Drosophila melanogaster: one gene and its partners. The protein of the gene in region 2 interacts with the protein of the main gene of each other region in a pairwise test. Each region holds a gene or a part of one and is shown on either strand. Other genes may lie near its edges.

Region 1 (3,835 bases), on a different chromosome or scaffold from region 2:
TAGAATAGCAATCGGTGCTCGAATTAAGTTGTAAACTATAACACACATATGCTGAGAACTCAGCAGGTGAGAGGAAATAGCAAATTAGCTGGCGGCATTCTTGCGTTCGATGGTGCATAAAATATGCAAAACATTTGGATGTTATTAAGTTGCACTAACGCAACTGGAGCCTGACGGATCGCAATACCATTGGGAATTGATTTAGAGCCCCAATCCCCTAATGAACCAGTGCCACCCCCACTTGCACATGGTTTTCCGGCTTAGCCAGCACCAGCACACCAGGCTGATTTCATTTTCATCGGAATTTTGCACAATTGGCCAAGATTACTGTCAAATGAGCGAAACCCGTTTGAGGTCTTTCCTTGTTGGCCGCATAGAATCGTAACAGAAACTCGAAACTTGTTTTGCACGTACGAAAGTCGGTTGTGTAATGCCGCATTTAGTGGGCGTTCACCACCCGAGGTGTTTAGATAAATCTGCTGGAAATTAAATAAGCGGCCACTGGCCGAAAAACAAAAGACTGCAGGACACGAACTTGGTTTCCTTCATATATTGTTTTTACTCGATTATAGTACAAATTGCTCAGACGTCCCAAGGCCCAAATTAACATAGTTTCTAAATTAATTTTGATCATTTTTCAACATCATCGAAGTTTATTGACTTCTCTTTTCTTGGGAAGACTTAAATGGAAAGATTAAAGTTTAATGGGAAAGTCACAGAGAAAAAGGCCGACATTTCTTGAGTTTTTTCATATTTCAAAAATATGCAAATGATATTTTGAATATATTTTGTAATTTAAATCAGCAATACCCATTGGGCAGCAGCGATTAATTTTCTCTGTGTAGGATTATAAATTAATAACAAACAGTACGCATATAGGAAGTACGATACAATTGCTCTTAAACATATCACACGAGAGTTTGATGGAGTCAAGAAAAGAGTAGGGGTTCTAGTTGTGATAGGGAAAGTTGGAAAAGAAGAAAGAGGATCCCTACTAATGAAGAAGATGCATAATGTCTGAGTGGAGGACAGTGGGGCTTATACCTTGTTGAAGGAGTAGGTGAAGCCATCGGGCGTGCGGTTCAGGGACAGTTTGCCGGGTGGCGAAAAGCGGTGTGGGTTGGGGGTGGTGGTGGTGTAGTACGCCTGCTGGGGTTGCGGCTGCTGATACTGGGGTTGGGGCTGCTGATACTGAGGCTGGTACTGCTGCTGCGGCTGCACGGGCTGTGGGTTGTAGGCGGGCTGGGGAGCAGGACGGTACTGCGGCTGGGCAGCGGGCTGCTGGTAGCTCTGCTGGTTCTGTCCGAAAGAGGGATCGTTGTAGCGGGGATCGTAGGAACCATCATCTCCGTAGTCATTGCTGCGGAAACTGGCCTGCGGCTGGGGAGCGGGAGCCTGGTACTGCTGCGGCTGGTACTGCTGCTGTGGCTGATATCCCGCTGTGGGCACGGGCTGTGGTGGAGCAGGTGGTGCCTGGGGCAAGTGATCTCCAGAAGCTTGGAAACTATTTCGGAATAAAAACCAAATTAATACAAGTTCGGGTATTTGTTCTATAGAAAGTGCTTACCCATTTTTGCCAGCTGTGTACGAAATAGTACGCCTCTGGCCCGTGGGATCCAGATAGCTGTAGCTGCCATGACGTGTTCCATCCGCATCCGTCTCCTCCTTGAAGTTGATGCCATCCTCCTGCTCATAGGCAGCTCCGAACTTTCCATCTCCGGACAGATAACGCTGCTCACTGATGATGGCCGCCGTTTTGGGATCCTGGTGATAGTGCTGGCTGGAAGCCAGGGCCACCAAGGTGGTCAGTGCAAGCTGTCAAGAATTCAAAATTTATTGTACAATCAAGTATTTGTGTGCTGCCAATTCCTTAATCTGAGTCATTATCACTTAACGTATTATAAGGTAAGACTTTCACTATTTAATGTGTACTCTAGAATATCCTGGTTTGAATTGACACTTTTGTCCGTCAGTTTGATTACTTTTCTCTTAATAGCTTTTAAATTGTTCGAACAGCCTTGAATAAAACACAACTCACAAATCTGAACATTTTGGTGTGGGGAATATCCTTGTCAAGCGTAAACTGCACACAATTTTATCTTCTTCTCGAGGGGGATTCACACGCGCCTTTACGCTTACAAGTCGGTTAAGAGGGAAATGGGACCGACGGCAACGGATTTGTGGAGTTAACTGCCTTCCGCAACGGTGCCGCCCAAGCTTTTTATAGTCCGAGCGGGAACCTTGGATCGCTGGATCGCCGATCGACTCCGCCTAGGCACTCCAAGCTATGTAATTGTGTTGGTACTATTAACGTTAACGGCAACAACAAGTCGGCCAAGTCGGCGTAACAATAACAAGAATCGAGCTAAGTGCTCCAATAAGTCAACTTTGGGCGAGTATTGGTATCGCGGTCGTGTTGCCAAGTCGTTTTACCAGTTTCGATCTCTTTCGCTTGGAGCGCCAACTTTTGCTTTCTATATATACGAATATATGCTATATGCACTTAGTTCCACCGTTTCTGCCTGCACCAGGCCCAAGCCCAAGACGAAAATATTTTTTAATTATTTCAAAAGTTTTTCAGCTGTAATCCAGCCTCAGCGCAGAGGTATCCTCATCTGGGAGGGGATCTATCGAAACCAGGAATTACCAATTAGTTCTGCAGAGCATGATGCAATTTTAATGGCAATAGTTTAGTTTAAGAGTAGGAAAAAAGGAAAATGTATGGAAAATACAAATAAAACGGGATATAAAATAGATTGAATAATAGTATTGTATGCCAATAATGTTGGCCTAAGCTAAAAAACAGAAATAGAAAGTAACTACAACACCCTGTGGAAGAAATTGGCAAAAGCCTCGTCTTTATTGTCTTTTTGATTTTTCCAGTGTGAAAAGCCCGTGGAAACTGTCGATTGTGATGGATAACTGGGCGGTCGCCCTCTGCTGAAAATCCGAACATATCTTGGGAAATTCGCCAAATGAGCGTTGTTAACTTTTCACTCCCCTCTTCAAGTTGTAAAGTTGTAAAGCCGTTTGTTTGCCTTTTAGCTGGATTTGCGTTCTGCATGTGCATGGCCAAGTTGATTTATATCTAGATCGGACTGAAAAGCTGGACTTTGTGGTGTGGCCAAAAGCGCTTGGCAACAATCGCCAGTGTTACCGCAATGTGTTTGACTTGTTGACTCTGCGCTGGCTTCAATTATTTATTGTGTTTGAAATGTCTGGCATTGTTTGGGCTTGTTTATGGCCAAAGCAGTTGGCCGCCCACCCACATGCCACACGCCCACTCCCACGCCCCCCACTTTGCGTAATGTTTGCAGAGAACTTTTGGCATTATTTATGATCTAACAATGCAAACAGGTCTGCATCTCCAACTTTGGTTATTTGAAGTTTTATATCTAGAGTCAAATTAACATTACATTATCTATATCGATATTCATTTTAATTTTAAAGAATTTTTCTTAAGCCCTAAAATTGAACGTAAAGAGAATTAGAGCATTTATGTATGCAAATCGGGTTTTCATATTTTAATGAGCGATTTCCACACAGCGGCACACTCTTGCACACAAAGTAGCCGCATGGGGTCGAAGATTTCGAGTAGCAACACTCTCATTTACACCGTTATTTGCCCTTTTGCAAGTCGCCATCGTCTGAACATCGCCATCATCATTACCATCGTCATTATCCGGCGGTCTTGTTTGTGTGGCCAAAAGCGGAGAACGCCCTCTCGCAGCAGGAGGCGGTGATCAGAGCAGAAAGCGGTAAAAGGAGGAGGAAATTAAATCAGTTGACAAACAACAACAGGAAACTGCAGCTATGGCATATAGTTCCGGAATAT
Region 2 (4,716 bases):
AATGAAAAAACAAAAACTTTCATTTCTCGCTGCTTTCCAAATGAGGTAAGTGGCTGTTTAGCTGGTGGAGGTGGCTTTTTGGTTTTGGTTTGGTATTGGCGGCACCTGCTCAGCAAACCAAAACATGCCGCAAGCATTTAGCTTGCGTAATCCCAAGAATTTATGCTCGAGCATTTGAAAGCGAAAGTATTTCTCCCTCGACATTTTGGTATGCGGGGGCGCTGTGGTTGCGCAACTCGTAATAAAAGCCGGATAACCGGATACAAGCGAAATTAGTGCCTTAAATATCACTTATCACCTGGGACATCGCAAATCGAATTGCGCAAATGATGGGCCAAGCTAATTACAAAACTATTGCCACAGTCGTCGTCGCCACTGAGCCGCAGAAAAGTGTCCCAAAACAATGTGACAATTGCAACAGAGCAATACTTAAGGTAGCTGCTAGTAGCTACTCTATATATATGAAAAACCATAAAGCAAGCGCTGACAAAACAAAGCAGCCGCCAAATGGAGCAGCTGAAGAAAGCAAGAGTGGCTCGGCAAATGTATAGCCACAAGTACCCGTACTTGTTGGCCACGTCTCGAGTGTGGGCCTCATTCTGGCCCAGACCAAACCAGACTTGTGCAACTCGGCAACTTGGCGAGGGTATCCACATAAACCGCCTGCCGCAGATAGATATATATACATATATACAGATATATATGTGCCCAGATGAACATTAGCAATCAATCCACATCCGTGACCAAGACACGGAGTGTGAGAAAAAATTCAGTAGGCCAAGATACTTCAACTTGTCGGTCTAGAAGGAAAACACAGAGACAAAACGGAGCAAAAAGCCCCAAATGGTTGCCTTGCTCTACCAGCCGGGTGCTGACTAATCAACTGTGTGGGTATTCCAGGGGTGCCGAAGGAGGATCAGGGGGTCTTACGGAGGCCGTACATGCAACTGCAAATCACGATTTAGTTCCAGCGAACCAGCAATAAATGCCCGGCCTGGAAGCCATTTGAATTGATTTTTTAGTTTTTACCTCCGCTTAAATGCACTTTGAATCTGATATTGCTGAATGCATTGCAATTACTCACATTTAGAATTCAGTGCGTGTCACTAGTGCGAGATAATTATGGTTTTGAAAGACCGCTGGGCATATTCGATATTGATCTTTGAAATTGAAATTCTCTTTGGTATGGCTAAATCATCTGGGATAATTTAAGTTGTAATATAAACAAAGGTATGGTTGCATTGATTTCTCAATTCGTGAGTAATCAACACCAAAACTTGTGCGCATTAGGATCTGCAACGCATTCCATCGAACAAAGCCAACTAATGAAGCAAGTTTGTGTCTTAAGTCTTTTGTTTGGCCCGCTGAGAAAGTCGTAATCCGGGCTCAACGCTTGACAAATTGAACATTATGCGGTTGAGTAATTGAAAGCCGTGAAAGACGAAGACCACACGGGTAGGATCGCTGGGCACGTGCTAAGTGACGAGTGATGGAAGCTTCTGCAGCTACGCAAAGTCATTCGCACGTTTCACTTTCATCGGAGGAAGGTGAGGGAGGGGTAGGAATATGAATTGGCGGCGGAGGAGGCTAGTGGCAAATAAACACATCAGGCGCCACATTAAGACATGACAATAAAGAAAAAGTGAGTCTGAGCAGTATTATATTTTCTTGACACTTTCGCGAGTTTTGTTTCGCCACTTCCCCCCTCACCACTCCGCTGCCAACCCATCCCTCTTTTATATCGGCTGGCATTGGCCGATGCGGCGGCTACGTGATTTCAGCCCGTTGCCAAAGGCTACGATATGGACTTTGCTGGACGTGCGACAGGCAATTGGCCGGCCGGCGGCCATCGCCTGCGTTTATTGTAATTAGAAAGTATTTAATTTCGAAAACGCTGTCCGCTCGCACATAAAAAAAAAAACAAAGTTCGCATAAATATAAATAAAGAAATACATATATAAAACGAATAAGACGCTACGGCGTAATTTATGATTTCCCTCTTCTGTTTGCCCTCATGTTAAAATGACAAACAAACGAATAAGTGTACACATTAGTTCCGTTAAAGATCAGATGCCACATCGAAGATTAGGGAAGAGAAATGTCTGGCCCTCGGAAGTGGGGTCTGTATGCAAATTGGCCTGATAAACAAGATTTTTCTTGTACGAAACATAAAATTTCTCCAGGTGAAAATTGGGTTAATGAAGTGGCAATGGAGATAGACTTAGAGATGTAGATGAAAAACCCAAAACGAACCCACAGAATACTGATGGACCAGTTTCTTTTCTTTTGGTCAGGGGTCTGGCCACCTTATCTTTTAACGAGGAAGTCTGCCCATAAAGCTTGACTCAACTTGACTCTCTAGAGGATGGACGGTTGTTTTGGTTAGATGTATGGTCCATAAGTCTTTGGGCAAACAAATTGCATGCCAGTTAACGAGTGTCGGTGGGCAAAAACAAAATGAAATTTCCAAATAATTAGAGCATGAAAAAATAAACAGCAAAATTGCCAAGACAGTCGAATGCGTTGAGTGTGTGGTTAGTTGAATGGAGAGCTGAAATTTCTATTCGCCTTTTTTGGCAAAAAAAAAAAAAAAATAAAATAAATAAAAAATAAAAACCCCACTTACCACTCTCCTCTATTGCTTCTTCTTCTTCTTCCTGAACGGCAGCTGTTGTTTCTCTTTCACTTGGCTTAATTTAATTAAGATCCTAACTTGCCCAACTCGCCAAATTAGCAGCAATTCAAGCGTTTTACTTTTATTTTTGTATATTAATTATATTTTCGATTTCTTGAAATTCACTTTGACTTTATCCACTTGAGACGTCAGGAAGCTCACGCACTTTCGGCAAAAGATGCAAAATCAAATGTCGTTGGTACCACTGTGCGTATACTCGATGCGTATGAGTGTTACACTTACAAATCAAGTTATTACTATCTTGCGTTAACAGTTAGCCGGAGCTGGTTTTTAGACGCGTCTGCATCGTTGGCGTGCCGTTAACAGACTGAAGAAATGAAAAGCGTCGCGGGCCAAAGTAAGTAAGAGTGGTTCGCTCGTGGTTTTCATCCAACTGCCTCCGTCGAAGTCGACGCTGGCCGAGCAGTTAGCAGATCAGTAGGCAGCGCAGTCGCAGTCAGCGTTAACGGCGCAACTAAAGCGGCTTTAACAGCTTTTGGGCCAACAAAAGACTTGGTCAAACAGAGCGGTATAGCTCCTAGCTAAAAATGATCCTCCAATGATTTGTTGTGGTTAATTGAAATTAACAAAACGGGGATGGGGATAGAGTTTTGCCAAGGGGGAGTGTCCACAAGAATGCACTAAATGCAAATCAAGTCGGCCATAAATGCTAACTTGTTTTAGCGTTAGTTGCGGCGATGCTGTTCCAGTTTTGCAATCTTTGCTGGCGACAAGTTTTTACCACATTTGCTGGGAAAATCGATCCGACTGTGTGGGGGTCTTATGAATCGTGCTACACCCCTCGCTGATATATGTGATATATGTGTATATGTGCGGCTATATGGCCAGACATAACAACAATTCCATAATTCTGACTCAGTGCCATGTGGCATTCGAGCCGTGCATCTAGCTTTTAATTGGCTTTTTAGGCTTTGCTCTGCAGCCAAGGTCGTTTTCTTGCTACACAAATTCCATTATGAGTTTAATTGAATTGTTTGTTTTGGTTTTTTTTTCTTCTCTCGTACGCGTTTCCTCGTATTTTTGTTTGTTTTGTTAGGAAACCTATAAACCGATTGACATTTAGCAATTAAAACGCGTAGAAACCATTTTTTCTTCGCTGGCCTTTGCCGCATTTCTTTTGTTACAAATTGGTTACAAACTTTATAAAACCTATAATAACAAAAAGTGCGAAATTGGGATTAAATATGTGGTTGAAATGTTTGCAATCAAGTAGCGCAGGTAGAAATAAATATTTAAATCTTTTTATAATATTTTCCAGATAATATTTTGGTGTTTAAAATACATTTTTGTGCTCAGCTTGTTGCCAAATATTTCTTTGGTCTGCTAGAATTGGCCTTAAAAAGAGGTCTTTTTCAACTTCTTTTGGGGCAATTAAAATATTCTCATGCCGGCAGCCGCACAATTTCCGTTAAGCAAACAATTGTCTAAGTGAGACGTTTATGGATCGTGGAAATCAAGTTAATTAGCATATCGTTCAGCGTCCGCCATTATCCATTATGCATTGGGTAACCCAAACGAGATGCTCGGACGCTTTTCAATCGCATTTTTTTTTCAATTTCAATTTTCCAGCGGCAATTGCGACGGGCGATGAGTGCATTGACAGGAGCAGCAACATCGTCGCCGCAAATCCAATCAGTCAACTTGTCATAACGCCTGCCCACCTGTCTGTCCGTGTGCCTCACCTGCCGCCTCAGGTGGGCGTGAGTTATGTGCGGACTGATGACGTACGAGGAAGGTTTCCACCTCATGGCCTAAGTTATGTGACGGGATCTCTTGGCGTTCGGAGATCATTCAACCGCGACTCGCGTCTTGAACTTCCGCTGAATGTTATTTAGTTGGCTTGCAACTCTGTTTCTAGAACAAAGCACTTTCACCTGCCTCGCAGATAGAGAATCAAATTCAATCGAATTCAATTGGCAGCCAATGGTTGGGGGACGGCAATTAGCGTTGACCTTTTCACAGGTGTCTCACTGAAATGGCTCACACGCCCAAGGTGGCGCTGCCAAATGGCAAAGGTAACA
Region 3 (4,789 bases), on a different chromosome or scaffold from region 2:
GGAATATCTATTCGACACACTGCGCAAATCCTTCGACAATTAGGCAATAGGCAGTAGGCTCCTCTAGTAACAATAGACCGTTGTTTAGGCCAAGTTTTATATAAATGTACACTTAACACACACACACACACAATGACATCCCCCCAACACACACAAGCATACACACTCTAACGCGAAGGAGCAAAAGTTAGTCGATTAATTAGTTTAAGCAGGTAGGAGGTGGAATTTTTTTGAACTCGATTAGAGGAACATTCTGTGAGAGAAAGTAAAACTAACAAAAAACCAACCTAGAAAACACATTTAGACAGTGCGTGGCATGGCCATAAGGCGCTTTGTAAGAAAAGGTTCAAAAAGATTGTGCAGACATACAGTTTAAAAAGAATAGTGTTCATTTTTAAATATTTTCATGACAGATTGGAATGTAAACTGTATAGTCCACTTTATGTTATTTATTTTTACTTTATTTATTTTCTGATTCATTTGTATCGTTGTAGACCGCAAAACCTAGTTCAATCCGCCCTACGTTTATGGCGCGCACTGTTGCTAGTCTCTAAGCTCGGCAAACTATCGTTTCCAACTATCTAGACCTAATGTACGATTATGATCCATCAACTAACGCGACTCTATCAACTAAATCATAGGACACGGCATTCAAATGGGTTTCTTAGCACGAGATAAAGACGAAAACTAACTTAAATACAGAACAACAGAACAGGATCTTAGCCAAACAAGGTACAGTTGTGTTCAGACACTTTCCCAAAAAAAGGCCCAAATCGAATAAATATTGAAATTCGAGAAAGCAAAATAAAACCATTTATGAGGACAATAAATATTAATGAGGAAATTACGAAAACAAAATAAATAAAAACCAAAAGAAAATGAAGAAAACTGTGTTCGATACGATTTAACTGAAGCAAACTTCTTTCTGGCACTGACTAAAATACCAAAATTTAATTGAATTTAGATCAAGGCAAGGCATAAATGGGCGCTATGTGGGCGTGGTCATTAGCACAACAATACCAACAGCAACAACAACAACAACACTAATATTTTAAATGCGCAAAATGTACTGCAAAAACCAAGAAGTGAAAATAGATGAAACACCTGTATTTATTTCGTAGTGCAGGCACTTTATTTTTGATTTGATTTTCGTTACCACCCCCGCCCCTCTCACTAGGCAGTAGAACATCTGGCGACAGTATATATATATATATATATATATTTATATATATAAATATAATTATATATTTAAGCACGCTCAAATATGTATGTAAATAAGTTTCAATTTGATTTTTTTGAGAAATAAAATGTAGAACAAATTGTGGCAAAGATTTCAAGCATTTCGAAAGCACTTGACTAACCGCATGACTCGCTGGGGTTTTCGACCACAACCGAAGATTGGTGTCGAAATCGCGGCACTATAAATACAGAAGCGAGTGGAGAACCAGAACCACAACCACAACCAGACCCATCCCAGTGCACCATGACCCAGCCGTCGCAAGTGGAAGCGGATCCGTAAATAGATCGTAGATCTTCGGCAAAACAATGCGATCACAATGCCAGACGGGAAGGTCAACAATGGTCGGGCAATCTGGCCATATGCATCTACTCTCGCTTTAAAACAAACAGCACCAGCTGTAAGTGAACATGTAATTTATGGCCAGTGGGACAACTGGCAGATTCAGAGGCCTCTCTGCAGCAAAAACAAGCCCAAACTAAACCGAAAAACACACTTAGGGAAAGATCAACACGAGGGCAGGATTTAAAAATGGAATTCCGGAAAGGTATACAATATTTCTATTTCTAGGCCAACTGAAAAGATCTTCAGAGCAGAAAACTTGGCCTTAAGCCATCTTTTTAGCACAGAATCATATTTCTTCTTAAACTTAGTAGAACAAACTTTAAAAGTAGCGATATTTTTTTAAGGCACCTTTAGCACCTTTATTGCAATCCCAAATCTCAATCGAAACTCACCTGTATAGCTTGTAGCAGAGTCCGTGCTGCGTGAAAAAGAGGCCTCTTTCGCCCGGATGGCTCCTGTTCCCGGTGCTCGGCTCAGTCATGGTGTGGGCGTACTTGTAGAGGAAGGCGTACTGCTTGGCGATGACGCGACACTGACGCATTGCCAGAGCGGCTGCAGCGGTGCCCCGGAGGAGCTCCATCTGCTTGGTGGTAAAGTATAGCACGGTGTTGTATTTGGCAGGCAGAACATCAATGTAGGGCCGCCACTCGCTGAACTCGCCACGGATCTTCTCGATGACCAGATCATAGGCCAGGTTCAAGTGGGTGGCCTGCGTCATTTTGCCAAATAGGCGGCAATCGGAGTTGTTTTCCTCGGATAAGATGAGCTTCCGGGGCACGCTGAGCACCAGCTCATCCTTGGCCAACGGTCGGGTGGCCCGCAGACCCAGTTGGTAGCCGGGAAAGATGGCTATCTCCAGTCCCTCACTGTGAACTCCGCCATCTTTGGCCCACGCACTGAACGCCTCCACTTTGGCCAGACGGGTCTGATCGTCGGGGGAATCGCTGATCTGCGGACACACTGCTTGGCTGAGTGGCTCCTCCAGGATCATGATTTGTTTGAGCAGCTCCTGTAGCTGCCCGTACTGCTTCCATTCCTCGTTGGGATTCGCCGGTTGCTTTTCCACCAAGTCAAGCAGTTCCTCGACGAGCTTGTTTAGTTGGCTCCTCTTTTTGCCGTTTAAACTGGGCAACGAACTGGCCGCCTGCTGGTCCTCAAAATCCTCGACTGCTGTGCCGGATGCGGATGCAGTTACTCCGTTTTGTTGTGGCTGCTGTTGCTGCTGTTTTGTCTTCTTGTTGCGCTTCGTGTTCTTACCCATGGCGGTGCCGTTGGTGGGAGCGAGAGAGAAAGACAGAGAGAGAGGAAGACAGAAAGCTAAGCGGTACCGGCGGCCCAAAACAACAACAGCCAAATAAGGAAAATAAAGTCGAGAAATCTGCACGCGGGCGATCAGCTGGCCGGCAGTGTGGCCATTCGTCGGGCGCCACTAAATTACTCCGACAATTGGTCACACATTCGACGAGCTTTTATGCTGAAAACTTTTTAATAGGGGTACTCCTAAGCTTTTTTTTATTACAAAACTTATGTTTTCTTGTAAAATAAATTGTAATTCACGTTGCATTTTTGGCACATCAATAATATTATAATAATTACTCTTTATAGTTATTAAAATGGCCAGTGTTTTTTTATATTTTATGTTGCATTCTTGAAGAGCGGGAAATTTAAATTGAGAATTTGTCCTAAAATCCAGGTTGCAGAAGCTCGTATGTATAATAATATATTTATTTATTTATATAAATAAAATCGCTCTTTCCATGTCTTTTAGTTTCTATTTATAAACAATTTGACAATGGCCCATAGGGTTATCTTAGATTTTCTAAACGTCATCCAATTGAGAAACGTTATGTTGATAACAAGAAATCCACGAAATAAAAATGTTATTGTACGAAAAAGAAATAATTGTTTGTTGAGCTTTGTGGGTTTTTGCAAAACAAAAACAACAAGAAATATTTACGATTTTCTTATCTACGGTAAAAAAAACTTGAACTAAAAAACTAGGAGATAATGCCGCTCATCAGATGTTTACGCACTTTGTGCCATTTTTGGCTAGGGTGGACCAACACACAAATCAGCGTTTGAGTTAATAGTAAGAAACAAATTCCGTCCAAATATACAACCTAGGATACGAAATCTAAAACATGATAAGTGCATCTTGTAAGAAAGACGCAGTTTGAGAAACTTTCGACAAATACGGAATATGGTCCACCCTAAGGCGCTCAAGCAATTTGAGAGTGGCTCAGTTCTCAGTTCAGTGACTCCAATGCAGCAACAACGGCGGTTGGAGCACCAGCGGGCAGAGCGCGAAAGAGAGGCAGTGGTGGGGCTCCAAAGGCGTAGGCAGGATGGACCATCCAAAGGGGTTCCAGATCGCCTCTTCTGTATAAGTTATCCATAAATAGCTTATACACTGCATCCTTTATGAGTATAATGTGGTAAATGTATAAAGAATCCCGGTATATTAATTGGCAACTCATCTTTAATTTCGGATCACTGATAACCAACCATATTCCCCTGCTATCCCCGCCTTTGGTGACCTGGCTGCCATGTTTCGAGCTGCAGAACTGTTTCTTCCAGCCACCAACTTCTCAGTGCAATCGAGTCGTTCGAGCAGAGAAGTTGGGAAATCCCGTAGAAAAGTAAAACTCTAGGAAAAGAGAGATCGGGAAGGAGAGATAGAGCGATCATGTCTGTGAATGCGGATCTGCAGAGAGAGCGGGCGGCGGCCACCTTGGACAGCGAGGACTTTGCCCGCTGGTGGGCGGGTGGCTCTGGGCAGCTGGAGGAGCGCCGCGCCCTGGAAAGGCGTTTCTATGAGGATCCCGACTTCGCGGAGCCAGTGCATCCGAGCTGTCTGTCATACAAGGAGCGCTACGAACAGACCGTGGCCCGATCCACACGCTTCCTGGCCAAACTGCGCCAATGGCAGCGGGAGAAGCAGCCACAACTTCAGCTTAGTGTGAATATGCTGAGGGACTTTCGGCTGCTACTCTCCGGATCCCTGGGCACGGGCCTCTTCCAGCAGAGCTTCCCCCTTCGGGTGCATTTCTCCATGTTCATGACCACCTTGCTGAGCCAGGGAACCGAGGAGCAGCAGGCCCAGTGGCTCAATCGATCCTGGCACATGGACGGCGTCCTGGGCACCTATGCGCAAACGGAGCTGGGTCACGGCACCTTTGTCCGGGGCCTGGAAACCCGAGCCGACTA
Region 4 (4,461 bases), on a different chromosome or scaffold from region 2:
AGGTTCAAGATCAATTTGCTCACTGGCAACGTTTTCCCCCTTTTCAGCCGGCAAAACGCACAACAAGCATCACTACATCAGCCGAAGCAGCTATCCAATGGGTGGCTACCTGAAGGTGACCCGGGAGCACTTCAATCGCCTCAGCGAACTGGACATCTTTCCGCGCTACAAGCCCATCAAGCCGCACCACGAAAAGAAGCATCGCTTCAAGAGGGATCACTCGAGCAGGTCCTACAACAACATTCCCTACTGCTGTCTAAACCAGTGCGAGGAGGAGTTCTTCTGCTAAGAGAGCTCCAGTGTCATGCTCCATGCCCCACGCTCCAAGTCGGTGCCATCTGGTCAGAATCTTCTGAATCCGTCCATAGTTATAGTTAGGCTATTCATGTACATTCTACAAGTCGCGCTCACTCTTATAGAGTACCTTATTTGTGCCCACTCCCAGGGACACAGATCCATTTACAGTATTTATACACTTAGATCGATTTTGAATAAACAATCGAATACGGCAACTGATCGGAATTAAAGTGTTTTTTATAAAAATTGGTGGACAGTTAAAACTAAACAAACATTCAGAGAATTTAACAGCATATTAGGTTTAGAAGACGCATATAAAGGCTTAAAAGATTATTACAATCCTAGTACAAATGAGTCACGATGGCTAACAAATCTTTGTTGTATCACAATCTATTAATCACTAAATCACTTAATAAACCGACAGCTCGAACCATGGAATCAGCTTATATGGAACTAATATAGTAGGCGCCTTTGCAAACGTTGCATTTGTACTTGCGGCAGTTTTGTTCGCCAACTGGCTCCAGTGATCGAAAGTACTTGGATACCACCATCAAAATATCCTCACGTTGTCTCTGAAGGAAATCTTCGCCGAAGTCATCAAAGGTTTTAACGCAATGCATTAGAATGCGATAGAGGACCGCTTCAGTTGATACGAACGTATTCAGCGAGCGATCAATGTAATCCACGTTCTCCTCTACGAATGTGCGGGTCATCTGCATTAGAAGCTGTACAGCCTGATCGCTGAAGTATCTGGCCATGGCCTCCAAAACGTCCGTAAAGCTAGCCAGATTGCCGATATGCTCAACGAATTTTCCGCCGAACTTCTGTGCGAGCATGTCCATATTGATCACCATCTGCCCGCCAATGCCGTAACTCAGTATTTGGGGCAATAAAGTGGTGGCCACTGTAAGTCCCTGACTTAGGTGTGAGTTCATATTGTGAAGACTGAGGAGTACCTCCTTAAAAGGGATTTCGTTGAGGGTTCTCACAATATCAAATTGACCAGATTCATTGTGCAGCTTAACTGTTTCCTGGGAGATTCGATCAAAGATTTTTCTGTTGATACAAAAATGATGAAGAATACTATATATGTGACTGCCAGGAGGTATTGACTTGCCTGGATTGATTTCGAAGTGCTCGCCTCAAGGAAGACCCGTTGGTAGCCTTGGAAGCGATGCGCATATTGTTGATGGAATGAGTGAATATCACAAGGTGCGAGGCCATCTTCAGCATGTCCAAGCTGTTTATGGCTTGGTCATCTCCATGTTTCTGAGGAGGTCGAAACGAAGTTATAAAATTAATGTCTTTTTTAAAGGATCCAACTTACCGAATATAAATCGTAAACACCATTCGCTACACCCGTTCCGGCGATGACCATTGAGGCACCATTTATCCCCCTAACGGCTAACTGCGCAGCGGGATTAACTTTGTAGCCAGCTCCTGCAGCGGTGGACAGAGCTTTTGTGGCCCCACTGGCTCCTAGACCCACAACGCCACCTGCTACGCCCAACCAAGAGCTGCGTGCCTCGGTATCCGTGATGCAGGTGGACTGTCCGTGCCGTCGACGATCGATAAGATGGGAGGCAGAGCGCAGGGTGCTGTAGACTCCGGTGGCCACGCCCACAGCGGTGGCGGCAATCGCGAGCGGAGCGCCCAGAGGCACAGCCAAAGCTGCAGCCGCCGGAACACTGGCCACCAAGCTACCAACAGTGGCGACTTTATCGCCAGCATTCAGAATTTTATACCTGGCACGTGCTGCTGGCGTTGGATGGACCATCAACTGGACGCCCGGCTCCTCGTCGCCGGTGAATGTGTAAATTCCTTGGCTAGGGGCGATCATCAAGCCCTTGGGCAAGGTGTTCCGGAAGACGAACTGCTCCCAATTGGCGTAGACCCGTGCATTTTCGTCCACAAAAATCATGCAACAAGCGGCGCTGTTCTCGCCCTTCAAACAGCGCCGTGTGCGAAAAACCGGGTGACAGGAGTAGTTGGTAGACTGCAGCGCCGATTCCGGGTCTGTATCCGGCGTGACTAGCACGTAAATTATGGCGGAGAGCAATGTGCCGTTGGTGTAACAGCGCTGCTGCCAAATATTCCGGAAAAGCTGCTCCCGCTTTCGTTGAATCGCCTTGCCATTGCGGGCGTCATCATCGCGAATGAGGTTCTCTATCTTTTGCTTTAGAACATCACCCTGATCCGGGGCTAGTCTGTGGGTATAAATATAGTTTAGCCAGGTACGATGATTTAAGTAATTGCATAACATACGAATCCCAAATAATTTCCGAACGCAGCCCACTGCTGAAGCCAAAATCCCTTTGCACTTCGTAGGTGGTGCGAGAATTTTTAGTATTTTCCGTTTTCTCCATATCCTAATTACTGCAGAATCTGGCACTTTTGATCTGCAGCCCAAGTTAAATATACTTACTTTAATTTAGAGACTGTATTTTAATGGGAAATCAATGTCGAAATGCTAATTTCGTTTCCATGACAATTCAACAAAGCTGGCGCCAAATTATCGAGAGCTAATCGATTAAGCTTCACGATATAAGTTTATCAATCGATACCGCGTAATTTTAAATGATACATTTTGACAATATTATTTTAAATCTCAAATCTATTAATGCCATAGAAATTCGGTTCAAAACTTTTTCAATCAATAGTAATTCTTTCAAGTAGTAATAGTTCTAAATTAAAACTTATTTCGCGATCCACAGTTTTCCTTGGTCTTTGATCCACTTGGTACCTAATAATTATTTTACTTAACTTTTAATTGCCATGTTTTACTGAACAAGTTTAATATTTTTGGACTATCAGTAAATTACTCTTTTAATGACCTTTACTGACCTCAGTAATTTAATATTTTAACCTCAAAAAATCTACTAGTGTCCCCGAAAAGTCCAATACCCAAGCAATAGTTGAATTTTAATATGGGATTTTTATTTAAATATACACTTAAGAGTTAGTTATACAAAAACATTGCTAAGGCCACGGTTAAGTCTAATTAGGTGTTGGGCAGGCAAAAAGGCCATTGGCAAGCGATTTTCGTGGTGAAAAATCATCAACAAGATTAGTTAACAACGAGTTAAAAGGTAAATAAAGTGAAATTAAATACATGTATTGCATTGAAGTTGTGAGTCTATCAGTTGGTTATCAGTTAAAACAGTGGTTTATCTTAACAAAATTCGAACAATTGAAACTGCCTGCCATTAAAATCGAGCAATAAATGGTACTAGGACCAGCCGCCGGTAAGTTTGTGGAAAAGCTCCTCGTTCAGGGTCTGGTTGGTGTCCTTGGATCGCATGGACATGAAAATGTAACCACCGATGAACTCGTGCACCACTTTACAGTCGGCTGAGTGGCAGGAGAAGACCACATTCTCGTCTTCAAACTGAATCATCATGCACTTTATGTTCCAGTTGACGTTCCACGCCTTCATGGTGTTATATCGCCAGGTCTTGATGTGATCTCCCGAACTCAGATCCATGCGCATAATGCGGTTGTGGGCCACGCCGAGCAGCTCCTCCTTCCGATGCCCGTCGAACTTAATGATGAACAGGCTTACTCCAAAGTCAGGTAACGAACGCCATGCCTGGATGTACTTCAGTTTTGAATCTAAAGCATTCAGCTCCCGAACGTTGGCATGTGCTTCGAGGATCCGCTGGACTGCCTTGTTCGACAACTTGCGGATGATCTTGGGCGACAGATAATCAACTGCTTCCACAGAGCGAGGATCGATGTTTACATGAACTCCGTGTGCGGGTCGCTGCATCTGCAGTAGCGAGAGTATGCTGTCCACTTCACTCTCGTACGAGCTATCCGCCAGGGATCTTCCCTTGGCCGCCAAACGACAAGCAGCCATCCACTTGGCGTACTGCTGCTCGTTCTCGCAGCGCACCCACACCTCACTGTTGATACCGTGGCCACCATCAGGAGAGACCTCCAGCCGGATAGCATACTTTCCCTGGGACAGGTTTACATCCGGAGTTACTTCGCAGCCCTTCAGGTTAATGCTTATGGCAGGCGCAACACGTCGCGAATCTTCGGCGTTCTTGAACAGATGCAAATGCAGATCCCGATAGGTGAAGTAGTAGCGCTTATAGCCGCGCAGCGTGAATCTTTGCGGCTTCAAGTAACGCAAATAGTCAGAGAGCTCTGGTATGCGTG

What was found.
Region 1: the proteins of CG15080 (region 2) and Cpr100A interact in a two-hybrid assay, tested with the Drosophila melanogaster proteins (one large-scale study listed by BioGRID).
Region 3: the proteins of CG15080 (region 2) and Setd3 interact in a two-hybrid assay, tested with the Drosophila melanogaster proteins (one large-scale study listed by BioGRID).
Region 4: the proteins of CG15080 (region 2) and CG7730 interact in a two-hybrid assay, tested with the Drosophila melanogaster proteins (one large-scale study listed by BioGRID).

The regions. Positions count from the first base shown.
Region 1 is NT_033777.3:30,865,887-30,869,721, reverse strand, and holds Cpr100A (cuticular protein 100A), read right to left. Parts: upstream 2,202-3,835; 5' UTR 2,051-2,201; coding exon 2,039-2,050; intron 1,816-2,038; coding exon 1,568-1,815; intron 1,505-1,567; coding exon 1,039-1,504; 3' UTR 538-1,038; downstream 1-537.
Region 2 is NT_033778.4:18,781,589-18,786,304, reverse strand, and holds the start of CG15080 (uncharacterized protein), read right to left. Parts: upstream 3,007-4,716; 5' UTR 2,627-3,006; intron 1-2,626.
Region 3 is NC_004354.4:6,965,750-6,970,538, forward strand, and holds the start of Setd3 (SET domain containing 3), read right to left. Parts: upstream 3,002-4,789; 5' UTR 2,844-3,001; coding exon 1,975-2,843; exon of another isoform or gene 44-1,974; coding exon of another isoform or gene 1-43. Other genes in the region: CG14431 (uncharacterized protein), read left to right, coding at 1-43; CG4586 (uncharacterized protein), read left to right, coding at 4,269-4,789. UniProt on the Drosophila melanogaster protein: Protein-histidine N-methyltransferase that specifically mediates 3-methylhistidine (tele-methylhistidine) methylation of actin at 'His-74'.
Region 4 is NT_037436.4:17,025,871-17,030,331, reverse strand, and holds CG7730 (uncharacterized protein), read right to left. Parts: upstream 2,818-4,461; 5' UTR 2,664-2,817; coding exon 2,563-2,663; intron 2,505-2,562; coding exon 1,625-2,504; intron 1,567-1,624; coding exon 1,415-1,566; intron 1,354-1,414; coding exon 741-1,353; 3' UTR 518-740; downstream 1-517. Other genes in the region: Ilp8 (Insulin-like peptide 8), read left to right, coding at 48-289; Fit2 (fermitin 2), read right to left, coding at 3,527-4,461.